Cricetulus griseus: one gene and its partners. The protein of the gene in region 2 interacts with the protein of the main gene of each other region in a biochemical or structural test. Links are inferred from orthologs where the notes say so. Each region holds a gene or a part of one and is shown on either strand. Other genes may lie near its edges. The genes, in order: beta-actin-like protein 2, Ube3a, Prkaca, Esr1 and Ubqln1.

Region 1 (4,157 bases), on a different chromosome or scaffold from region 2:
CTTTCCAAGAATACACTTGAGGTTACTGAACTTCTACTAAGATTTATTGCTTACAAAGAAACTGGAGCTATATTTCCCCATAGTGACATCCTTGCATAATAGAAACATCCAGAATCAAGGCCAACAGATATTACTCAAGACATGCTATTAGGCTAAGAAATGTAAGTAAAATTATTCCTGTCCCCTGTAGCAGAACAAAATTAGCTCGATATAATAATATCTTTCTATGTAAAAAGCAAGTGATTATCTGTAGGTTTGCTGTTTCATGAGTATGATGAAGACCAGCAACCAAGATAGTAAGATATGTTTGACCAACGGAGCTGCACCTTGATTAGAAAATTTATTTGACTTATATACACTAATAAAATGTTGACTATTTAGTTATGCTTATTTAATAAGGCAATTAATTGAAATACAGAGCTACTAAAATGCTGACTGCTGGAAAGTAAAGAAATTCACGTAAGTTGCCCAGTCAGCCAAATGCATTATTATAATTTAAGAAGTAACACTTTACTCCCCTGATGCATATGTGGATATAGAGAATGATTGACCTGTAAAATTCATTATATCTGTGTAGAAAGAGATAAACAAATAAAAAAGATTTAATAAGACCTAGTTGCTAAACTTTTATATTACAGGCTTGTATATAGTATTGTTGAGTATTTTAGCAAGAACTAGATTTAAAGCTTGGAAACTGTAGTTTTTCACAATGAAATTATATTCCTCATGGCTTTATTCCTTGTCACATATTTTCATATAAGCAAGCCTATATTTCTTTGAGCCCTGCAGGCATAGAAAATAGAATATGATATCAGAACTCCCTCAGTGGATGGAAATCACAGTGTGGTTAGCTGTCATAGCCCAGGAGACATGGATTTTCTGGCTTGAACAATTAATAGGAAATAAACTATTTACCTTAACTTTACTGGGTGAGATGGGAACCGTCATTGTGACCTAGAAAAAGGGACACGGAGGCTCATTCAGAAGCATTTTCTATGTACAATAGGAGGACCAGCTTCATCATATTCCTGCTTACTGATCCACATCTGCTGGAATGTGGACAGGCTGGCTAGGATGGAACCCCCAATCCAAACAGAATACTTGCGTTCTGGGGGAGCTATGATCTTGATTTTCATGGTGCTTGGTGCCAAGGTTACAATTTCCTTCTGCATCCTGTCGGCAATGCCCGGGTACATGGTGCTGCCTCCAGACAGCACAGTATTGGCATATAAATCCTTACGAATATCCACATCACACTTCATGATGGAGTTGAAGGTTGTCTCATGGATCCCACTGGACTCAATGCCTAGAAAGGAAGGCTGGAAAATGGCTTCTGGGCACCGGAAGCGTTCATTCCCAATGGTGATCACCTGCCCATCAGGAAGCTCATAGCTTCTTTCAAGAGAGGATGAAGCAGATGCAGCAACCATCTCCTGCTCAAAGTCCAGGGCTACATAGCATAGCTTCTCTTTGACATCCCGCACAATCTCCCGTTCAGCTGTGGTGGTGAAATTATAGCCTCGTTCTGTCAGGATCTTCATGAGATAATCAGTCAGGTCTCTGCCTGCCAGATCCAGTCGTAGAATGGCATGGGGAAGAGCATAGCCTTCATAGATGGGCACGGTGTGAGTGACCCCATCCCCAGAATCCATCACGATACCCGTAGTCCTTCCTGAAGCGTAGAGGGACAGCACAGCTTGGATAGCTACATACATGGCAGGTGTGTTGAAAGCCTCGAACATTATCTGAGTCATCTTTTCCCGGTTGATCTTGGGGTTGAGCGGTGCCTCAGTGAGAAGAATAGGATGCTCATCTGGCGCTACACGCAGCTCGTTGTAGAAAGTGTGGTACCAGATCTTCTCCATATCATCCCAGTTGGTGACAACTCCATGTTCAATAGGATACTTCAGGGTCAAGATGCCTCGCTTGCTCTGGGCCTCATCTCCCACATAACAGTCCTTCTGGCCCATGCCAACCATGACTCCCTGGTGTCGGGGACGCCCCACCATGGAGGGGAACACAGCCCGGGGTGCATCATCACCCCCAAATCCCGCCTTGCACATTCCCGACCCATTATCTACTACCAAGGCAGACAGCTCATCATCAACCATGGTTGCTGGCTAGGATTTTCCAGATGGGTGAACTGAAGTTGAATAGAGGTAAGTTCTAGACTATGATGTACAAGAAAGAATGGATAACCAGAGAACACTTCAGAACTGTCTTCAGAGAAGGAAGCCAGTACCTCGATCACCCTATTTAAAGGAACACACTGACCCCACCCATTTCCTACCCCACCAGTTCCCAGCATTTCTGGGTGGGGCTACCTTTGAGGTATTAATAATTATGATAATTACAGAAATCATTACTAGGCCTTCTTTCATAAAGAGAAAACTGGCTACCAAGTGGCTAAATCTCAGTATACTATAATTAGGCAACCCACACACGGCTGCCAGTCTGCTTGGCAAGGTATCTAGATAACTACATGATGCAATGGGGAATGTAACCACAAGATTAAAGAGAGCTAGAGATGGGAAGGGTGACCCTGCTGGAAGGACCGTCTCTCTTGAGCTTGTACTCTGCACCCATTTAGCTTTGACTTTTCAGTTTTGATATATTGTTCATACGAAGAGTCTCTGATTTTTGTCTTTACTTTTCCAAGATTTTATTTCCTATTACTTCAAGATGTCATCAATGATAGAAACTGTTTTAATGAATGAAAATAATGATTGGTCAAGGCTTTAATCAGAATGTACTTGTGACTTAAAAAAATGTAGAGCTGTTTAATTGATTTCAAATCATCCAGGCATAAGTAAAATCAAGAGGGTAATCAATAAAGTAAGCCACTATATATTTTTCTGACATAAATGTCTAATAACCACATTTTATAATTTATATTTTCTAATACCCAAATTTATTACTATGCATTGGCATTGCTCATAGGTTTACTAAGTGGATGTCAACTGCATAGAGGCAAAATGCCAATGTTTTCGAGGGATTTATTAGTTAAAATGCAAATTATAGAAGGGAACTAGGATTGTCATGTAAATCAATCTTGTTTCTAATTCAAATAAAAAATAAAATGCAAATTATAACTCTTTATTTGCAGTGAATTTTTATAAAAAGTTTGGATTATATAACAATAAACAAATTGATAAAAAATTTTAAATTATGCATCTGAGTGCTTATTGATGTTTTAAAAAAACCTGATCTTCAAGGTGCTTGTATTTTATCATGACAGCAAGCCTGTGGTTGTTAAACTCAACACAATTGATACAGCATTACTTTCTTTTCATTTAAAGATTTATTATCCTGACCACTTTGGATGAAGTTGATTTGAATTTGGTGGTTAATGTGGAAACACAGACAACTTGGTAAATGCTTGTCATGATGGATCACAGGACATGAGGAACTGAGAAGCCTTCAGTTAAGAAAGCTCATAGTTTCTTAATGGGAATCAGTCTACCACAAGATCCAGCAATTCCACTCCAAGGCATATACCCAAAAGAAGCACATTCATACAACAAGGATATCTGTCAACGATGTTCATAGCAGAATTATTTATAATAGCCAGAAACTGGAAGCAGCCTAGATGCCCCTCTACTGAAGAATGGGTGGAGAAAATATGGAACATTTACACAATGGAGTACTACTCAGTGGAAAAAACAAAACAAAACAATGGAATCTTGAAATTTGCAGGCAAATGAATGGAACTAGAAGAAACCATTTGGAGCGAGGTAACCCAGTCACAAAAAGACAACATGATATGTACTCACTCATATGTGGATTTTAGACATAGAGTAAAGGATTACCAGCCTACAATCCACACTGCCAGAGAAGCTAGTAAACAAGGAAGACCCTCAAAGAGACAAACATTGTCCCTTGGAGAAGGGGAAAGGGTCATGATCCCCTGAGCAAATTGAGAGCATGGGAAGAGGGGGAGGAAGCTACGAGAATGAGAAGGGAAGAAGAGGAAGGATGCAGAGGTCATGAGGGAGCAGAAAGGTTGAGTCAGGTGAAGAATAGAAGAAAGGATATTCAATAGGTAGGGTTTTAGTTGGGAGTGTGGTAGTGGAGGACGAGAGGGAGAAGGGAACTGGGATTGTCATGTAAATCAATCTTGTTTCTAATTCAAATAAAAAATGATAAAAAAAGAAAGC
Region 2 (4,702 bases):
GTAGCAGTAGGTATTGACAAAAGATTCCAAACAAAAAGATATTTTTATATAAATTAAGATGTATTTCTGTATTTAGATAGTATCTCAGAGACTATTTAAAGAATGACAAAGAACTTACTGGGTGAGAATCTCCCAAGTCACGAAAGGTTCCTTTTTTCCCCATTAGCTTCCTGTAGACAACCATGGGAAAGTGGACATCCAGTATACAGTTATTGTAAATAGCCAGACCGAGGACTATGCCAATCAGAGTAAACTGACCCTCGGTTTCAAAGGAAGATGGATTAAACCAAAATAATTTTGTGGCTTCATCATATGTGAACATACCTATAAAAAATAAGTTTTAAAATAATTTGTATTTTTGAAAATCTAAAAATTTAAAAATAATTTTAAACAAAATAAGACAAAAGAATTTTAATATAGTAGATATGTTTTTGCTATTGCATGCATGTGAGAAAACTGTACAAATATAGTAACTGATTATCATTAAGTGTATTAACTAGTGGTATACAACTCTAAGAAGCCAACAAAACAAAATATGAAATTTGGGTGACATTCCTGGAAAGGTATTTTTAAAAAGTTTTATTAGGTTATTCAAGGCTTATCAATTTTCATTGACTAATGAAAGGTTAATTTACAGTCATATTTTAGCCACTCAGATGACTGAAAAGTACATAAGAAGCAAACTCATGATCAAGTACAAGAATTAGATAAAGTTGATTAACTTCCAGTTACTTAAGATACATAGCTAATGTGAGCTAATAGTTTTAAAAACCAAATTTGTAATATTTCATCTTTACATAATCACCATTATTCAAGATCTAACTTCAAAGACATTTTTTCATATCATTATTTCATCTAAGGGAGCAGAAATAGATTTGTCTTCTTTTTTCACTGAACATTAAATACAAAAATATTTTAAATAAATCCATATGCGTTTTAATTTTTCTAAATTCATTTTCAGTTGCCTCTCAGGAAACACTTGTAAATTAAGGTTTAATATGCTGGGGGAGAGGGGATTGCACACCTTAGCACTTGGAAGAATGAGGCAGGTGGGTCATGAGTTTAAGGCCAGAATGCACGAATACAATATAAAAAGACTGTCCACAAAACCAAAACCAAGAACAAAGTAAACAAATCAAAGAAGGCTTGGGCAAAGAAACTTTTAACCTAATGGAACATTTCTCAAAACCAAATAAAACAGCATTAAAATGTGCTTCTAAGTTCATTTTGAAAAGATTTAAAACTTTTCATTTTCAGTTTTAATGAAAAGAAAAATACAATTTTCTCTTTGACCTCTATACTTCTTTTTGCAATTTAATATTTGTGAAATACTCGTTTTAAAATTATCCAACTCATATTTGAGTTCTACAGTTTGAAAAATATGTATACATGTATGGTTATTTATTTGCAAGCCAAGTTATAGATCCACAGAGTATCAAAAACTCCAATTGACAAGCAGTAAGTGGGATAGAATGTCACAAATGGATGATTTTGGTTACAAGAACAATAAGCTATAAATTATCCAGTGTCTAAAATTCATAAGCCATTATTCTCATGCCTTCAGTAGCTTCCAATCCTCCATTCCAAGGTTTTCCAAATTAAATTTACCAAAAAGGTAATTGTCATCTACCAGAATATTTGGTTAATTAATCTAAGAAATAAGGTAAATACAGCAGTAGACAGATCAGTTCCTGAAGCATACACATTTGTTATCTATAATTACAAGTAAGCCATATCCAATTCTTTTGCTGTTCATCATAGCTGAGAATCTTCATAAAACCAAGTTCATAATTCAAAAGACTAACATGTCATCATCATATCACTAACACTTACCAATATCTGGATTAAAGATTTCCTCCACAACCAACTGAAAAAATTCTTTGGAAACACCTCCTTCATCCACTCCTTGCTCTCCTTCAAATTCCACATACAACTGCTTCTTCAAGTCTGCAGGATTTTCCATAGCAATCATCTCCAGCTGTTCAATGAAAAGATAAAGAAGAGGACCAATTATAATAGGATAAAAGCTACATGCAAGTAGAAGAAAACAAGGACTATTAACAGGAAACAATCTTGTTTCTCAATGGAAACAAGAAGCAAACTGACCCCCCAAAAGAGTATGGCAGAGTGCTAGGGACATGGCTCATTAGGTAAAAGCACTTTATCTGCAAGCATTAAAACCTCAGCTGGAATCCCTAGCATTATGACCATTCGTGCCTTCAACACTACTTAATACCTGCAACATGGTGGGGAAAAGGCCACAACTCTCAGGATTGCTAGTTAGCCAGCCTAGACAAAATGGTGAGCTTCCAGTTCACTCAGATATCTTATTATCTAAAAGTGGAAGACACCTGTCATCACAGACTGGTCTCCAGATGTTCACACATGAGTACACACATCAGCACATTCATATGCATGAACCACAAACATAAACCACACAACACATACACACAAAACCACCATACATAAAATGGTTACTTCTAACTTGGTAACTAAATTTTCTATTATATTTTATATAATAAATTAATATAGTATATAGAACAAGATATGAGAACAAATTGAGGCAACAAAATGCCTAATTGACTACTCATATTGTCATTTTAGCAAAAGAAAGCATAGAAATGTGACCTATACATTGTTTACTAGTAGAAAGTATATAGTGGATCTATGAATAATTTACATTTATTGGAAGGGAAATGTAGAGTTAAGCCTTCCTAACTGCCATGTTATAAGTGAAATAACTTCAATTAAGAAATATACATTCGAAAGCCAGATGTGGTAGTTCAGGCCTATGAAACAGGAAAATCCTAAGTTCTAGGAAATCTTGGAATACATATCAAGTCTCTGTTGTTAACACAATTCCCCTCTGCCAAAACAAATTTATACTTATTGCCACTTCTCAGTGGATTATAATGTCCCATACAACATCCACATTTTCACAAAGGCAGGTGAAACATACACTTGCTATCTTTTTTTCTTTATCTAACAATTAGCCAAACCTGTTCCACTAGTATTAACTTCAGTCCATTAGAAATTAATATTAAATCCTAATGTGTTGGGTTTAAAATGTAATTTGGTTCTCCTATTTCAACTTTGCATATAGTATTCATAACTAATTATCCAATTTATTTTCAATATTGTTTCCAAACACCCGTTGGCTTAAAAAAATGACAAAACAATATTTAAGGATGTTAAAGTTTTTCTTAACTATTCCAAAAGGAACTTTTAAAATAGGCTTGAAGAGGGCAGGAGAGATAGCTCAGAGGTTAAGAGCACTGACTGTTCTTCCAAAGGACCTGAGTTCAATTCCCAGCAACCACATGGTGTCTCATAACCATCTATAATGAGATCTGGCGCCCTCTTCAGGCGCCAGGAAGAACATTGTATACGGAAATAAATAAAATCTTAAAAAAAAAAAAAATAGGCTTAAAGAATGTAAATGGCACTGGAATAAGTATACTAGCTCCTTAAAGCAAATGCCATAAGCAACAATAGTTTTTGGTATCCTAAGTGTCTATAAAAAATAAAAGTAGAATCTCATAAATTTAAGAATCTGGCAGAGATACCCTAGATCTAAGTTTTTAAAACTGCTAGCTGCAATAGTTTGCAACCAGTAGGAAATAAAAAGCAAACAAAAACAAAAAACCACCACCACATCTAATTGTACCTACTGTTTTTAGCCAGATAAATTTCAATATACAGATATATATTTTATTTAGGATACTATATTTTTTTTTCTTAGTAGGGGATGCAGCCAAAACTTTTTGAAGGAAAAAAAAAAAAAAAAAGCAAATGGTTCAAATTACTTCCTGAATATCTTCAACTTTGGGGGTCTAGGATACTATGAATTTATTTTTCTAATTATCTCTCTCTTGGTCTTGTTTAACTCATTTGTATGTCTTCATGGGTGTAGACACACATGGGTGATTACACCTCAGCTGTTATTCCTCAGGACCTGTTCACCTTGCTTGTCAATGAAGGACTGAAGATCAGAATAGGCTGTACTGACAGTCAGGGTGCCAATACCGGACTACCTAGCAACAGGATTACAATGCCCACTCAATTTTCCTTTTTTTAAACAGGGTTTTGGGGATTAAACTCGGGTCTACTTGAAAGTGCTCTAATAACTAATCTACCCTCAAAGCTCACAACATTATTTTCAGATCAGTTTTTATTGAAAATTTATTTTTGAGGCTATATTTTGTTTCTGAACATATAAGAAACCAAATACTCTTTACAGACCCTGTCACTAAAGATTAACATTTAATTATTAAGTTTTAGTACATCAAGCCAACTTTCTAATGTACAAAGAAAAGAGGAGATAATACTCTTCCTACTAGAAGATGGTAAAAGCTTAGGAATATATAATTTCTATAAAGCATGCACAATTGGTAAGAACTAATATTATCCTTTAAAAATATAGTACTATTTCTTAAAATTCATAACTTTATGTCTTCAAAAGATCAAAAGACTAGTCCTGAGACTCTACGGTCATAAAACATGTAGATTCAAAATTAACCTTCGAAATGGAAAAGAAAAGCATACCAACAACAGTGCTAATTGAAAACTTGTCAAGACAGAATAACTTTGAACATTTGAATTTCACTGATTCCACACATTACTGTCATTACTGTGTAATATATCTTAGTGATTTCTCGAAGTTCTCTCTCAACTTGCTAAAAATTTAAGAGATTTAAGTAAA
Region 3 (4,702 bases), about 22 Mb from region 2:
TTACAGGAAGCAGAGGAAGACAGATATGTTCAATTTGAGCCTAGCCTGGCTTACAGTGTGAGTTCCAGGACAGCCAAAGCTACACAGAGAAACCCTGTCTCAAAAAAACTTAATGATGACGATAACGATAATAATAATAAATGTGGGGAGTGACTGAAGAAGAGACCCAGTATAGATATTGTATCCCTACCTTGCACTTGCATACACAGATACAAAAATACACACTCATGCACACACGGTCTTTATGAAAAGCTGCATATGGTGGCACACACCTGTCACCTCAGGACTCTAGAAGCAGAGGCAGGAGGATCTCAAGTTTGAAGCCAGCCTGTGCTACATAGCGAGACCCCATTTCCAAACAACGGTTTTGGTTATTTTGAGGCAAGGTCTCATACAGCCAGGATGGCAATGCACTTGCTATGAGGATGACCTTGACTTCCTCATCCTCCTCCACCTCCCCTCCTAAGTGCTGGGATATTCCACCGCACACAGCTTCAAAATGAATGTTTTTGTGTGTCTATGTCTGTGTAAGCATTCATGCATGCTCACATATGTAGAGGATGGAAGTTGACAATGGGTAGTTTCCTCAATCATGCCCTGTCTCTTTTTTTCTTTCTAAGAAAATCTTGGCCAAGTGGTGGTGGCACACGAATTTAATCTCAGCACTCCAGTGGCAGAGGCAGGTGGATCTCTGTGTTCAAAGACAGCCAGGGCTACACAGAGAAACCCGGTCTCAAAAAATAAAAATATTGCGTGTGTTTGTGTGAGTCCAGGTGTGTCAGAAGACAAACGCAGGTGTATGTCCTTGCCTTCCATCTTGTTTAATGGTAGGATCCTTTCTACTGCTGCATATGGCAGGCTGGATGCCCTGAGCTCCCAGGGACTCTCACAGTAGGGGTGCTGACACAGACAAAGCTGCTGTGCTGCGCTTTGGGGACTGAACTCATGCTTGCCTGAGAGGTGACGACTTATCCACTAGGCTATCTCTTCAGCTCTCCCACTCATTAAGTTTTTTTTGTTTGTTTCTTTAAACTCACTTATTGTATGTGTGTGTAGATGCATAGTTGTACCATGACATACTTGTAGAGGTCAGAGGACACTTGATCTTGGTCAAAAGACAACTTGTAGAAGTGGTTTTCTCCTTCTACCATGTGGGTTCTGGGGACTGAACTAAAGTCACCATGCTTGGTGGCAAGTGCCTTTAACTCACCAAGCCTTCTCTTCATTCCCATGTCTACCTCATTGTTTTGATATAGTTGGCCAACAAGTCCCCCGCAACACTAAAATTAATAAGTTTAAAAAAAATTTTAAGAGCTTTTGTGTAAACTGGGCAATGGTGGTACATGCCTTTAATCCAGCACTGAGGAGACAGGCAGGCAAATCTCTGTCAGTTCAAGGCTAGCCTGGCCTACAAAGTGCTATACAGAGAAACCCTAAATTGAAAAACAAAAACAAAAACAAAAAACCCAAAAAAACTTCTATATAAACCTTACTTTCTCCAAGAACACCCTGGTCACCTCTGACCAGCTGTATGTTTTTGTGGGGGTGGCCTTGTGAAGTGGTACACACCCTCCTGACCCTTGGGTCTGACAGACTGTGAAGGATCAGGGGGACTTGCATGTGGCTTAGTACTCACGGGGACAGGTTCAAAGACACTACTGAGCACAGATGGCAAAGTTTGCAGAGCTCTGGCCTGTGTGTGCAGCAACACTGTGAACCTCACATCAGTTCCCACTTATTTCATCTTTTGCTGAGGTAAGGATGGACCCAAGGGCCCTGAGAGTTTGGTCAAGTGCTCTGCCTCTAAGCTGCACCCCAGCAGTAGACATTAAACCACCAGTGAAAACTTACAATGCCTTACTTACAATGAAAATGAACTTACAATGAAAAGATGCACACAATCCCTTCACTTCCAGGGACTCAGCACAGTATTTTGCGTCTGGCAAGGCAAAGCTGCCACTGGACCTTTCTAACCCAAGGTGCAGGGGAGGGCTGCATTGCTGATTCACAGCTGATTGGTTCTATTATTTGGCAGCTGGTGAGTGGTGAATGAATGGGCAGCAAAGCCATGTGGGCAGGGGTGGGCTTGGCATGGGGTCTGGGTGGACAGCAGTGGGAAAGCCTGATTGGTAGCTGATTATCTTACCTTCTGTTTGTCCAAGATCTTCATGGCATAGTGGTTCCCAGTCTCCTTGTGCTTCACGAGCATCACTCGCCCAAAGGAGCCAGTGCCAAGTGTCTTGATTCTATCAAAGTGATCCAACTGGGCTGTATTCTGTGGGCAGGGATAGGAGAGGTCAGAAGCACCTCTGCAGATTTCTGGGTTGTGGAGTCCCCTATGTCACCGGCAGAGGGGGCCCTGGGGAGTGGGTGGAGATGACCCAGGGGACATTCTTCCAGGCAGGATGGCAGGGGCCAGATCCGGCCCTGGCCTGGGGCCCAGGAGTTGCTGGCAGCTGCATGGGGAGCGGGGGCTGCCAGGTGCAAGGGTTCAGTGGGGTGGGGGCCCAGAGATGAGAAGCAGGAGTCACCGTGGGCATGTCAGAAGGGAATGGGGCAGAGCTGGGAAGGGAACACAGGGACAGAGCTAGGCAGTGTCCCCTGGGAACTGTTCAGTCTGAGGTGCTTACCTGAGAAGGGCTCTCCCATTTTTTCAGGAATTCTTCCTTGGCCTTGGCTAGGAACTCTTTCACTGAGGGAGAGAGAGGAAGTTATGTTTCAAGGCACATCAAGTTTTTGCACTCTGGTGGTTAGTGGGGACAGCTGTCTCAAGCCAGAGTCCAGTATTTTCCCAGTGTCTTTGGGGGATCCTAGAGGCAATTTAGGGTGATTGGGCTGGGCCCTGAGTACCCCTTTAATTACAGAGGTGGGTCCCAGATTCCGGTCATTCCTAAATAGGGTTCATGGAGACTCAGGGGCACACAGGACCAAGAGGCACACGGGCCAGCCCACCCCACTCTCCCTAGCACTAACAGACATTCCTTGGCCAGGGCTGTGCCAGCTGAGGTATTTATAGCCTCTGATCTGGCTGCTTGTCTGTTGAGGCCAGGCCCTGGTGGAGGCCTGTAGGGCTAGTGTAGCAGGCACCCTTGGGGGGGCTCAGCTGTCACCTTAGCCCCCACTGGTTCTGTGCCTGCCTTTGCTGAGGGAAGAGCTCTCACCCCTGAACTGCTTTACTGGGTACCTCCCTTCAGGCACACTCCACCCTGGTGCCTGCAGCATCCTGAGGCCAGCATCTCATTTACCAATGTAGAAGCTGCCCCTGGTGTCTGGCTGGGGCACCCACTTCATCAACACACTTATGTGATCTGAATGACAACCTTCCTTATATGTATCTGTTTTACCCTATTAATAACCAGGAAAACAAGGCCTGGAGACAGTTCACTGTTAGGTATAGCCACCGTGAGGCAGCTAGGGGACAAGACTTCAGGGTAGTGGTTCAGAGTCTGGTCAGTCACGGGCTGTGTGTCTTTGGACAACTGATCTCATCTTTCTAAGTCTCAATTTTCCACACGAGCAACGGGGATAAAGCAATGATGATCTTGTAGGGTGGTAGTGGTGGGAGAAGTCCACCCAGGCAAAGGGTACTGGACAGCAGCCTGGCACAAGGTTTATGGTACAGAAATGCCAGCTATTCCCTCTGTGATGGTTAACCTTAGTTGGCTATTTAACTATATATGGAGTCCTCTAAAACCCCAGCATCTGGATACACGTATAAGGGGTTTCTTTATTAGATCATCTGAAGTGGGAAGACCCACCATACACCTGGCCACATCCTCTGGCAATAGGCTACAGAAAAGGACATGGAAGAAGGAAATTTTGCTTTTTGCCTGCTTGCCCTCACTTGCACTGGCAAGTTCATCTGTCATATTGCTGAGGCATTCCTGTGCTGGCGTTAGAACCTATTTCTTCAGAATTTCAGTGTAGACTAAGAAAGAGCAGCTGTCCAGAAATCTTCCAGAACTCCAGCAATAGATTAGGACTGCTGAGATAATCCAGTCTTAGGCCTGGACAACTACCCAAACCACAGCCTGTAAGACACTCTAATAATTCCCACATATAAATATTCATTCTGTCAGTTCTGTTCCTTTAGAGAACTACGGCTAATACTCTCTCTTGATTTTTTTTTTTTTTTTTCCCTTTGAGACAGGCTGTCTCTCTACATAGCCATGGCTGTCCTGGAACTCACTATGTAGACCGGATTAGCTTCAAACTCACAGAGATCCACCTCTGTTCCTACCTGACTCTTGAGTGCTAAGATTAAAGGCATGCACCACCACACCCAGGTCCTCTCTTGATTTTCTGAGACAAGATCTTATATTGTAGCCCAGTATGACATGGAACTCACTATGTAGCCCAGGATGGCCTTGAGCTCAGAGCAATCCTCCTGACTCCCTAGTAGTGAGATAGGTCAGGGCACAGGGAGAACAGTACCAAGAAAACAGGCTTGGAGCAATGGCACAGAATTATAAGATCAAGACTTTGGGAGCTGAGGTAGGACTCTGAGTTCAAAGCCAGCCTAGGGCATATAGCAAGAACCTGTATCAAAGGAGTATAGACTGCAGCTGTAGCTTAGCAGCAGAGCACTTGCCAGGATTCACAAGGCCTTGTTCCACCCCAAGCATGACAACACAAAAGAATAAGCTCATCTGTAATCCCAGAACTAGGAGGCTAAGACAGGAGGATCTCGAGTAGAAGGCAG
Region 4 (4,702 bases), on a different chromosome or scaffold from region 2:
TAGGCTTCTGTATACGAAATCCATTAGTTGGGGCATGGGAGAGGCTTGTTCCCATCATAACTAGAGTCCTTCTCCATAAAGGAGACCAGTCAAGAGCTTTAGAAACAGCACTTGAGAGACCAATAGGATGAACAGAGTGTCACTTCAGCCTCTGGATCTTTCTAGCAGCTCCTCAGGGCATTGCTTGTGTTTATTTTCCTATTGTATTTCCTTTTCTCTGAACATAGGATGCATAAAGCAAAATGAATAAATAATTGGCATTCCACAAATAAGCCTATTATTAGCCCTTTAGTGCACAACATCTGAAGAATAGATTATTTATGGGAAAAATTCTCCTCAATAGAGGCATTTTCAATGATAGTCTTAGAAATCAAAACAATTCCATAGATCACTGAGCATTAAGCACTTTTAAAATGTGATTTCTGCATGACAGACACATGTGTGCATGCAGTATGTAGTATCTATCCAACTCTTCTGAGCAGAGAAAACTGGCCAGAAATACTATGTCGAAGGCTTTATTGTTCTTGGTGTTGATTTTAAAGGCTACTCTCAAGTTTCAAGAGAAATACAGTGGGTTAACACTGACAATTGGCAAGCCCCGATGTAGCACTGACACCAACCACATCGCACGCTGTTATTTTCTCCCCTCCCCACACAGTATCACAGCCAGTTCTTGAGTCATTCACTCTTAAAACAGACGTTGAGTTTTGCGTTCTTACCTGGCACTCTCTTTGCCCAGTTGATCATATGAACCAACTCCCTGTCTGCCAGGTTGGTCAATAATCCCATCATCGAAGCTTCACTGAAAGGTCTAGAAGGATCATATTCAGAATAGATTAAGGGCGGTTCAGCATCCAACAAGGCACTGACCATTTGGTCAGCTGTCAAGGACAAGGCAGGGCTGTTCTTCTTAGTGTGCTTAATCACAAGAGGACTTGGCCAAAGGTTGGCGGCCCTCATGTCTCCTGAAGGCCCCATTTCGTTTCTGCCTTCCAAGTCATCTCTCTGGCGCTTGTGTTTCAGCATCCTCCCTCCTCTCCGGTCTTTTCGTATCCCTGAAAATGCAGAAGGATAAAAGAACAAATTCAATTACCCTTTTCTCCCGTCAACTTCAGTACAAACACCATCTTCAAAGATAATAGCCCTTTATTTTATTAAAATAAATACGGAAGGCTCATGCAAACTAGTGTTTAATAACTCTCACTCCAAATGGCAAAAGAGAACAGCACTGATTTGTGGCATTGATGATATTCATTTGATAAATAATGTCAGTGTAACAAATTTCAAGTCACTTGTCTGATATTTAGAGATACACAAACTCCTGAAAATATAACAATGTGATTTTATGAGCCAATAGTAGTTGTTTCTGACACACTAGTATTGTATGTGTGTGTGTTTATGTATATGTGTGTCATATATGTATGTATCTGTGTATGTGTGTATCTGTATGTATGTATATATATATGTGTGTATATGTGTTTTTGTGCATGTTTGTACGTGTGTATATGTGTGTATGTATACGTGTATAAGTGTTCATGTGTCTGTGTGTACAATAAATGCTATAAAAATAACAAAATTATAATAATTAGTTAGTTACTCATGAAATATAGCTTAATATCAAATACTGCATCTGTTGTAGACACTCTTTAATAGCAAATTGACAGTAATTTTAGTAGTGAAGGAGTAGAGCACCATGATGGAGTAAGACCTACCAATGACCGAATCCCAAGAGAAACACTGATTTAACAATCATCAACACACAAAAATTAACTCAAGCAGCAATAATGCAATCAGAAATGGCCAGCCAACCAAAGGAGATACTTCTCAAACAAAGACATAATGGTTAAAAGAAATAAGTATGCCAAATGTTCAGCATCATTTCCACAAAAGCTGGATTCCCACGAGTTAAGAGTGGTACTGGCACAGTTGCTGCAGAAATCCTGCCTCCGTGGACCAACATCATGGCACACCAGCAAAAGCCAGCATTTGGGGGCTAGCAGCCAGCCTACAGAGACCCAGGGGGTGGTTTTCTGTTTGTTTTTGATTCCCTCCTTTTGTTTGAAGTCAGCAAGAGGGACCATGTGAACTACTCCTTCCGGTAATAGCTCTGAAGTGTCTGTCACATTTAATACCAGTTGTTTAACACATGACTCTAGTTGAATGTAGAAGAGGGGGAAAAAGGGAGTGCTCACATTTTTAATCCACTCATTTAGAATCTGATGTCTTCTCTAGCAGTTCTGAGGTGTCCATAGCATTCTTTATTTTTGCTCTTCTGTGACCATGTTGGAGCCGGGTGAATAATTAGGCTTTTTTTTTTTTTAACACCTAGCAAGCAGTTACATGTTTTCTTTGGAATTTCTGGATAAGTTGGAGGAAACATTCTGCATGTTGTGTCTGGTGTACTTTTTCATCTCATTACACACTTCATTGTGTATCTCTGCCATCCTTAAATACAGAAATGGTTTTGTCTCCCGACTTTGACATTGTCACTATGTAGAATGTTTTCATTTGGGTTTGGAAATCCTTTGGGTCTAATTCTGTGAGCATACCTTAGCACTGGGTGATGATGTCTGCATCCTTTCTTTAGTTCCCCAGTAACCTTAAAGCTGTTGTAAAGTGTAAACCAGCCCATGACAGTTTTTGTACACGTTAAAGAACTTTATTGTTCAGTTTTCATGATGACTGTGTAAGGAAGACTGATACAGATGTCTGTCTCTCCTGGACCATGTCAATGACACTTGCTATGTATTTTGGTTCCACATCATGGTGATTTGTCCCCAATGACCTTTTGACCCTTTCCAGGCACATTTTTTATGTGTGTGTTGTTGCAGTTTCCCCCTTTGCATTGCATTGCTTTGACAACGGTAATTTGAATCAGATCTGAAAGAGGTCCAGAATAAAGTATATTTTGATCTTATGTTGGCTGTGTACATATGTAAAACATTTGATACCAAAAAAAAAATGTTCAGCATCACTAAAATGGGACAAACGCAAATCAAATCCATGAGAAGCCATCTCACTCCAGTTAGAATGACAAGTATAAAACAGACAAAAGACAAGAAACATTGATGAGAATATGGAGAAACTCAATGATAGGATGCCTTTGCCTGGTGGTAAGTCTACACTCGCTATAATAATAGTAGATAGTTTCCTTTTTAAAAAGTTGAAGAGCTGGAGAGATGACTCAGCATCTGAGAACACTTGCTGCTCTCACAGAGGACCAGGGTTTGGCTCAGAGACCTCCATTGTGGCTCATAGTTGCCTGTAACTCCAGTTTTAGGAGACCCAATGCCTTTTTTGACCTCCATGGTACCAGACATATATATGATGTACGGACATACATGCACACAAATCATCCATATGCATAATATAAATAATTCTTAAAAAATTTTTCTTTTTAAATTAAAAATATAGAACTACTATTTCACCCAGCAATTTCATTCCCAGCCATATGTCCAGAGAAAACCAACTCAATATGTTGAAGAGACATTCGTATGGCCATGTTTATTACAACATTGTTCACAGTACCCCAAGAAAGAGAGGCAATGCAAGTGTCCATAAACTGATGAATGAAAGAAGAAAATGTGGTACATATACACCACAGAAAACTGTTCAGCCATTAAAAAGAAGTGATATTCTGTCATTGGCAAAAAAAATTGGGTAGAGCTGAAAGATAGTATGTTAGGTGAACAGATACTCGTGTGTAATATAAAATAACCCTGTGAAGGGAGGTGGTGGGGAGGACTAGGAGGAAAGGAGGAAGGGAAAACTGCAGTTGGGATGTAAAACAAAAAATAAGTGAACAAATAAATAGCTGAATGGATAAATAAATAAATAAATAAATAAATAAATAAATGGATAAACAAAATAGCTGTCCAGACACTGAGAGCAGAATGCCTATCCTAAGAAGCCAGGAGGAATGAAAGTGAGAGAAGCTTAGAGTAAATTTGGCTAAGCTTCATTTTCAGTCACACAGGAGAAATAAATTCCAGTGTTATTTTGCAAAGTGCAGTGACCAGATAATGATAACCAATTGTGTATTACTAAAAAAAGCTTTAAAAAAAAGATAACCAGTAAAGAGAAATGATCAGTCTATGAGAAAATGGAGATGATTGCCCTGATGTGAATATTACACCATTTATTGAAATAGTGCATGGTTCTTGTCATGTATGTACAGTTTTCACTCACCAGACAACTTTGTGTGTGAGCATGTTGATGTTTCTGTGTGTGAACACATGTGTACATGGGCAAGTGCATGAGTGTGTATGTCCACATGGAGGCTTGAGGTCAATGTCAAGTGTGCCCAGTCATGCTCCACCTTAGTTTTCAAGTCAGACCTTCTCACTAGACCTAGAACTTATTCATTCACCTACCTTGGCTGGCAAGCAAACCCAAGGACCCTACTGTCTCCATCTCCCCAGGTCTAACCCAGGGACCCACCTGTTTCCATCTCTCAGTGCTAACCCAGAGACCCTGCTGTCTCCACCTCTCAGGGTTATCTCAGGGACCCTCCTGTCTCTGCCTCTCAGTGCTATGGTTACAGGTGTGCATAACATCACCTGGCTATTCCGTAGTGCTTAGGATCCCAACCTAACTCCCCATGTTTGCACAGAAAGCTCTTTATTTGAGATCTCCACAGCTCTTCAGCTAAGTTTGGAAGCCTTTGAGATTATTTTTATTAATTAAAAAAAAACATTTACCA
Region 5 (5,222 bases), about 140 Mb from region 2:
TAAAGACTTCCAGGGGAATGCGACGTAAGAGTAAAGAAATGGGAAGGGAAGGGAGGTCACTGTAGGCTGAAAGGCAGCCTGGGAAAATACTGCATGAAGGAAAACCAGATGAGAACAGGGAGCTAATGAAGTTGGGGAGAGATTTTACTTAAATATACAGAAGAAATGTCCAAAATACTTGCTTGCCCAACGGTGGAACTTCCTACCCCCAAGAAGTAAGCGATCGTCTCGTACCTAGACATAGGCCTTGTAAACGCTTCCTGTCGCTGAACAATGCTGGCAGGCACTAAGTGATATCCACCGATACCTCGTCTTGCAATTTACACCGCCGCCGCAACTCTGACCCAGATTTCAAAGGGCTCTGCTAAGACGTGTTTATGCAACAGCAGTTAATCACGGAAAAGGGTTCGATGGCCTAAGAGCAAAAATATGGGATGTCTTTGCGTATTTGGGTCACGGTGCTCTGTCAGCGCTCACCTTGGTGCAGCACCAGCTAGTGTGCCAAGTGCCACAATGTATCGCAAGTTATGGATGGCGTGGGGGTCACGGCTGAAACGGAAATAACTTAACTGGACCTACGTTCTCCACTGGGGTTACCCCGGAGGGCACCTCGGGCCTGGGGGGGGGGGGGCGCAGTAACTTTGGACCGCGTCCTGGAGGCGCACACGAGCCCCAGGCTGCAGCCCACCCGTGGAGCGGCCCGCCCTGGGCACCCGCGTCTGCCGCGCACAGCGTGGAAGGCGGAGCAGGGCGGCCGTGTGTCCGGCCTGGCTCCGGGGACGGGGCCGCGGCCTCCCTGCACCCACGCCTGCGGGCTGTGGGCCCCGCGCTGGCGCTGGCGCTGGCGCTGCCCCGCGTCCGTTCCCGTCTCCGCGCCCGCCCGCGGTGGCGCAGCTCCAGCGGGGCCCAGAGCCGGGCGGGCGGCCCCAGCCCCTTCCGCCCGGGCACACGCTGCGCTCCTCAGAACCAAGTGCCCGCGCGGGCCGCCGGCCACCGGGGCCGGGTCGGGGGACACCGGGAGCGCAGGCCCAGCGGGCCAGGCCGCTTCCAGCAAGTTCGCCGCCGGCCGTGACGTCATTTCAGGGCGCCGCGGCGGCGCCCCGCAGAGACCCCGGGGAGCGGCTCCCGACGCAGCGGGGGCGATGAAGCGAACCGAGTTAACTCGCTGTCCCCTTCCCCCTGCCGCCGCCGCGGCTGCCTTGGAGCCGGAGGAGCCCGCGCCCCTCGTCAGCCCGGCGGCGGCGCGCGGCGGCGGCAGGCGTGAGGCGGGCGAGGACTCGGCTTCCCGGCGTGCCCCGCGCCCCTGAGTCGGCGCGGCGGCCAGCGCGTTACCCAGCGTGCCCTGCGCGGCGCCGGCGACGGACGTGGGGGAGGTGCGGGAGGAGGAAGCGGCGGCGGCGGCGGCGGCGCGGCGACGCGGAGACGGCAGCCGAGCCATCGATCGCCCGCCCGGGCCCGCACCGCACCGCACCGCACCGCAGCCCGTGCCCGCGCGCCCTCGGCGGCCCCGCCGCAGCCCGTGCCCGCTCCGCTCCGCCGCGCCGCGCCGAGCCGGCCGCAGCCCGCAGGGTCCCGGTCGCCTGAGTCACCGCCATGGCCGAGAGCGCCGAGAGCGGCGGCCCCCCGGGCGCGCAGGACGCAGCCGCGGCCGACGGCGGCCCCGCGGAGCCCAAGATCATGAAGGTCACGGTGAAGACGCCCAAGGAGAAGGAGGAGTTCGCTGTGCCCGAGGACAGCTCGGTCCAGCAGGTGAGGCCCCGGGGCGCCGGGGCGCCGGGGCGGGGAGGGCGGCCGGGCCCGGCCCTGCGGGGCTCTGCGGGGCTCTGCGGGGCCGGGGGAGGGCGAGCGGCGGCCGCCGAGCTCCGGGCCTCGGCTCCTGACAAAGGAGCGGGCGGGCAGGGCGCGGGCGGCGCTCGCTCGGCCTCTGTGGCCCGGCTGGCGGGGCGGCGGGGCGGTGAGGTGAGGCGGGCGGGGCCCGGTGGGGGTCATTGTTTCACCTGCCGGCGAATCGCAGAGATTTGGGGGTGAGGAGCACGTGCAGGCTGCGTTCTGTGTTGTGTGTCCCCCCCACACCTTTCAGCCTTTTATTATATATACGCTATTATATATATACATATATATTTAAAATTGTGACGTGGAGATCGCTTTCAGTCAGCCTGGTGATAAGCTCACGCCCGAGGGAGAAAAGTCAAAGACTTTGATTCACGGACGACTCGCTGTTTCTGTCTCAATAACCTTCGTCATCGCCCAGCCGCTCGCCCGCTCGCCGGCTCGCCCGCCCGTCACGGGGCAGGTTATTGTTCGACTCCAGGGGGACGAGAGCCATACCTACCTGCCGGGGTGTTAGGTGGTTGCCGCCGGACGCAAGAAAACAGAATTGGTGTTAACGGGGAGTCTTACTAAACAAATAATCGCTTTAAATCCCGTTCAGGGAAAGCAAATTTTGCAGCTAATTAAGAGCCCCTGGTAAAAGTTAGCAGATTTATCTGTTTAGCACGTTCTAGAGCACTCGGATTGTTGACAGTCTCAACATCGTGGACGGTTTTGTGCGAGGACGCAATTAACAGGCACTGGAATGTGCCTTTAGGTTCTCTGAACGTTTATCTAGTTCCAAAGGTGAAGTCGTTTTTTTTTTTTTTTTTTGTTTTTGTTTTTTTTTTGTGAAACAGGAGGGTGTGTGGCATCAGCTGAGGGAACTACTGTTGACTGAATCACCATTCCTTGTTAACGCTGCTGTAAAAGGTTGAACGTCTTTGTGTTTTCCAGCATGTGTGTGCCTCACCCACGATTGACATTTTCCTGCACTTGCTGTGTTATGCGTCCCTTATTTCTAAAATACATTTTTAAGGTGTAAATACCGATATCGGTATCACCTTACAAGGCACGTAAGCCGTGTGCGTGTTAGTTAACTTGAAAACCACTGTTGTGGAAATTTATTCCACATAAATTTGATGTGCACGTGGGTGCCTTAGCCAGTTTTCACAAACCCATCTACACCTGTGCCAGCCAAGCACACAACTAGGTGTGGCCTGTTAGAGCTGACTTGAAAGCTTTTGTCTCACCTTCTCTTTAAAGAAGTCACTCTTTGTCACCCCCGTGGGGATTTTTTTTTCCCCCACCAGAGATTGATTTTGCCTGTCCAGAAGTTCACATACGCAGAGTTGTATATAATGAAATCTTTTGGGAAAGACTTTTTTTCTTTCCCTCTTCAGCATATTTTTGAGATTCATCCTTGTGAATGTTTGTACCCCTCCCACCCCAGATGTTTGCATACTAGGCACAGGCTCCACTCTACCACTGACCCATGTCCCCAGCTCAGTACCTAACTGCTCTGTGGTTTTCCATAGCATGCATATGCCACAATCTACTGTCCAGGGTCTTTCTCAATTGTAGTTGCTGTGAACAGTCGCATATAAATCATTTTGACAATATATGCCTTTATCTGCATTAGAATGCTTCTGTTTACTTTTTGAGTTTTGTTGTGGTGCTGTTTTGGTTTTTCAAGACAAGAGTTTCTCTGTGAAACAGCCTTGGGTGTCCTGGAACTCTATAGTCCAGCTCAGAGATCCACTTGCCTCTGCCTCCCTAGTGCTGGGATTAAAGGCCTGTGCCAGCATGCCCTGCTATTTTGTTTGTTTTATTTTGAGACAGTGTTTCATTATGTAGCCCCAGCTGTCCTGGAACTTGCTTTGTAGACCAGGCTGACTTGGATCTCACAAGTGCTGGGATGGATTGAGGGCTTGCGCCACCTCATCTGGCCAGTTCTGTTTAGTTTTATAAGACACAACCAACAGCATATGGGTGTGTATTTCTCTTGTTCTGTATCCTTGCTAATATTTGCTATGTACAAGGTTTTTTTGTTTGTTTGTTTTTATTTTTTATTGTAGCTGTTTAATGAATGTGTAGCGATAATAAATCATGAAGCTCTTGAGTCTAAGATTCCCAGCTTAAATTTCCATCCTGACAGCTTCCCCATTTTATTTCAGGACTTTAGAAATATAATAAATGAAAAAATTATTTATGTGAAGATTTGTAAGATTTTTTTTTAAAGAGTGACACTAAAGTTTTAAATTCCGTAGAAGTTTATATTTCACTATGCTGTAACTAAAAATGATTTAATGGGTAAAAGTAAAACCTTCCTAAAGTAACTTACTCTGATATTGCTTAATGTTTAAAGCTTTCTCTGTTTTCTGTGGAAACAGAAAATGTGATGAAAGTTGAAAGCTTACCCCTGTACCACAAACGGAAAACACATCAAACTGCTGAGTGAGTCAGGGGAGCAGACTTAGAAACATGTACAAAAAAAATATAAAACTATTTGTAGCACAAGACAAGGTCTACCATTTTGTAACTTAATTTTTCTTATAGAATTTAGTAGGTTTGATATTTACTACAGATTAAAGTTTGTTGATGAGTAGTATTTGGTGGCAATAAGATTGCCTTTAAAAATGCTTAGTGATTGTGAGTGGGGCTGGGGTTAGGGTTCAGTGGTGGAGCGTGTGGTTCAGATACAGGAGGCCCTGACTGAGTCCCCAGTGCACTCCACATCCTCTCAAATGGCAGGCTGATGTTGGGAAATACTTGATTCTGAAAATTCTTAACCTGTGAGGGGGTAGGAAAAAAAGAATATTGAAAGCTTATGCTGTTAGGCAAATCACACTTTTTTTGTTTGGGTTTTTTGTTTGTTTGTTTTTGTTTGTTTTTCGAAACAGGGTTTCTCTGTGTAGCTTTGGAGCCTATCCTGGCACTTGCTCTGTAGACCAGGCTGGTCTCGAACTCAGAGATCCGCCTGCCTCTGCCTCCTGAGTGCTGGGATTAAAAGCGTGTGCTGCTGCCACCACCACCATCACCGGGCATCCTTGTTTTAGTTTTTGAAGCAAGTGCTCCCTGTAGAGCCTTATTTACTCTCCATATGTGTAATGTGTGTGTGGCGATTAGAAGGTAATGTGTAGGTCGTAAGGACTGAAGTCATGACACCAGGTGTGATGGTAAATACCTTTACCTTCTGAACTATCTCAAAATTGCCCCAAGTATTTCCTATATATTGCTCAGTAATATGCCACTATATGGATGTGTACCACATCTTATTTCTTCATTACTTATTGATCATGTAAGTTTCTGTTTTTTGTTGTGAATAATGTCTCTGAACACTTATGATACATGTGTTTTGTTTTGTTTTGTTTTTGTAGACATATGGTTTCATTTTTCTTGGGTGTAGACCT

What was found.
Region 1: the proteins of Ube3a (region 2) and beta-actin-like protein 2 form a complex in vitro, tested with the Homo sapiens proteins (2 studies listed by BioGRID). The link is inferred for Cricetulus griseus from reciprocal best matches to the Homo sapiens genes UBE3A and ACTBL2.
Region 3: the proteins of Ube3a (region 2) and Prkaca form a complex in vitro, tested with the Homo sapiens proteins (2 studies listed by BioGRID, with this or other methods). The link is inferred for Cricetulus griseus from reciprocal best matches to the Homo sapiens genes UBE3A and PRKACA.
Region 4: the proteins of Ube3a (region 2) and Esr1 form a complex in vitro, tested with the Homo sapiens proteins (2 studies listed by BioGRID, with this or other methods). The link is inferred for Cricetulus griseus from reciprocal best matches to the Homo sapiens genes UBE3A and ESR1.
Region 5: the proteins of Ube3a (region 2) and Ubqln1 form a complex in vitro, tested with the Homo sapiens proteins (2 studies listed by BioGRID, with this or other methods). The link is inferred for Cricetulus griseus from reciprocal best matches to the Homo sapiens genes UBE3A and UBQLN1.

The regions. Positions count from the first base shown.
Region 1 is NC_048595.1:329,197,265-329,201,421, reverse strand, and holds beta-actin-like protein 2, read right to left. Parts: upstream 2,112-4,157; coding exon 981-2,111; downstream 1-980. UniProt on the Homo sapiens protein: Actins are highly conserved proteins that are involved in various types of cell motility and are ubiquitously expressed in all eukaryotic cells.
Region 2 is NC_048596.1:138,677,000-138,681,701, forward strand, and holds part of Ube3a (ubiquitin-protein ligase E3A), read right to left. Parts: intron 1,979-4,702; coding exon 1,834-1,978; intron 325-1,833; coding exon 119-324; intron 1-118. UniProt on the Homo sapiens protein: E3 ubiquitin-protein ligase which accepts ubiquitin from an E2 ubiquitin-conjugating enzyme in the form of a thioester and transfers it to its substrates.
Region 3 is NC_048596.1:160,435,549-160,440,250, forward strand, and holds part of Prkaca (cAMP-dependent protein kinase catalytic subunit alpha), read right to left. Parts: intron 2,693-4,702; coding exon 2,631-2,692; intron 2,276-2,630; coding exon 2,147-2,275; intron 1-2,146.
Region 4 is NC_048595.1:282,510,730-282,515,431, reverse strand, and holds part of Esr1 (estrogen receptor), read right to left. Parts: intron 1,056-4,702; coding exon 720-1,055; intron 1-719.
Region 5 is NC_048596.1:277,234,865-277,240,086, reverse strand, and holds the start of Ubqln1 (ubiquilin-1), read left to right. Parts: upstream 1-1,593; coding exon 1,594-1,749; intron 1,750-5,222. Other genes in the region: translation initiation factor IF-2-like, read right to left, coding at 566-1,303, 1,347-1,595. UniProt on the Homo sapiens protein: Plays an important role in the regulation of different protein degradation mechanisms and pathways including ubiquitin-proteasome system (UPS), autophagy and endoplasmic reticulum-associated protein degradation (ERAD) pathway.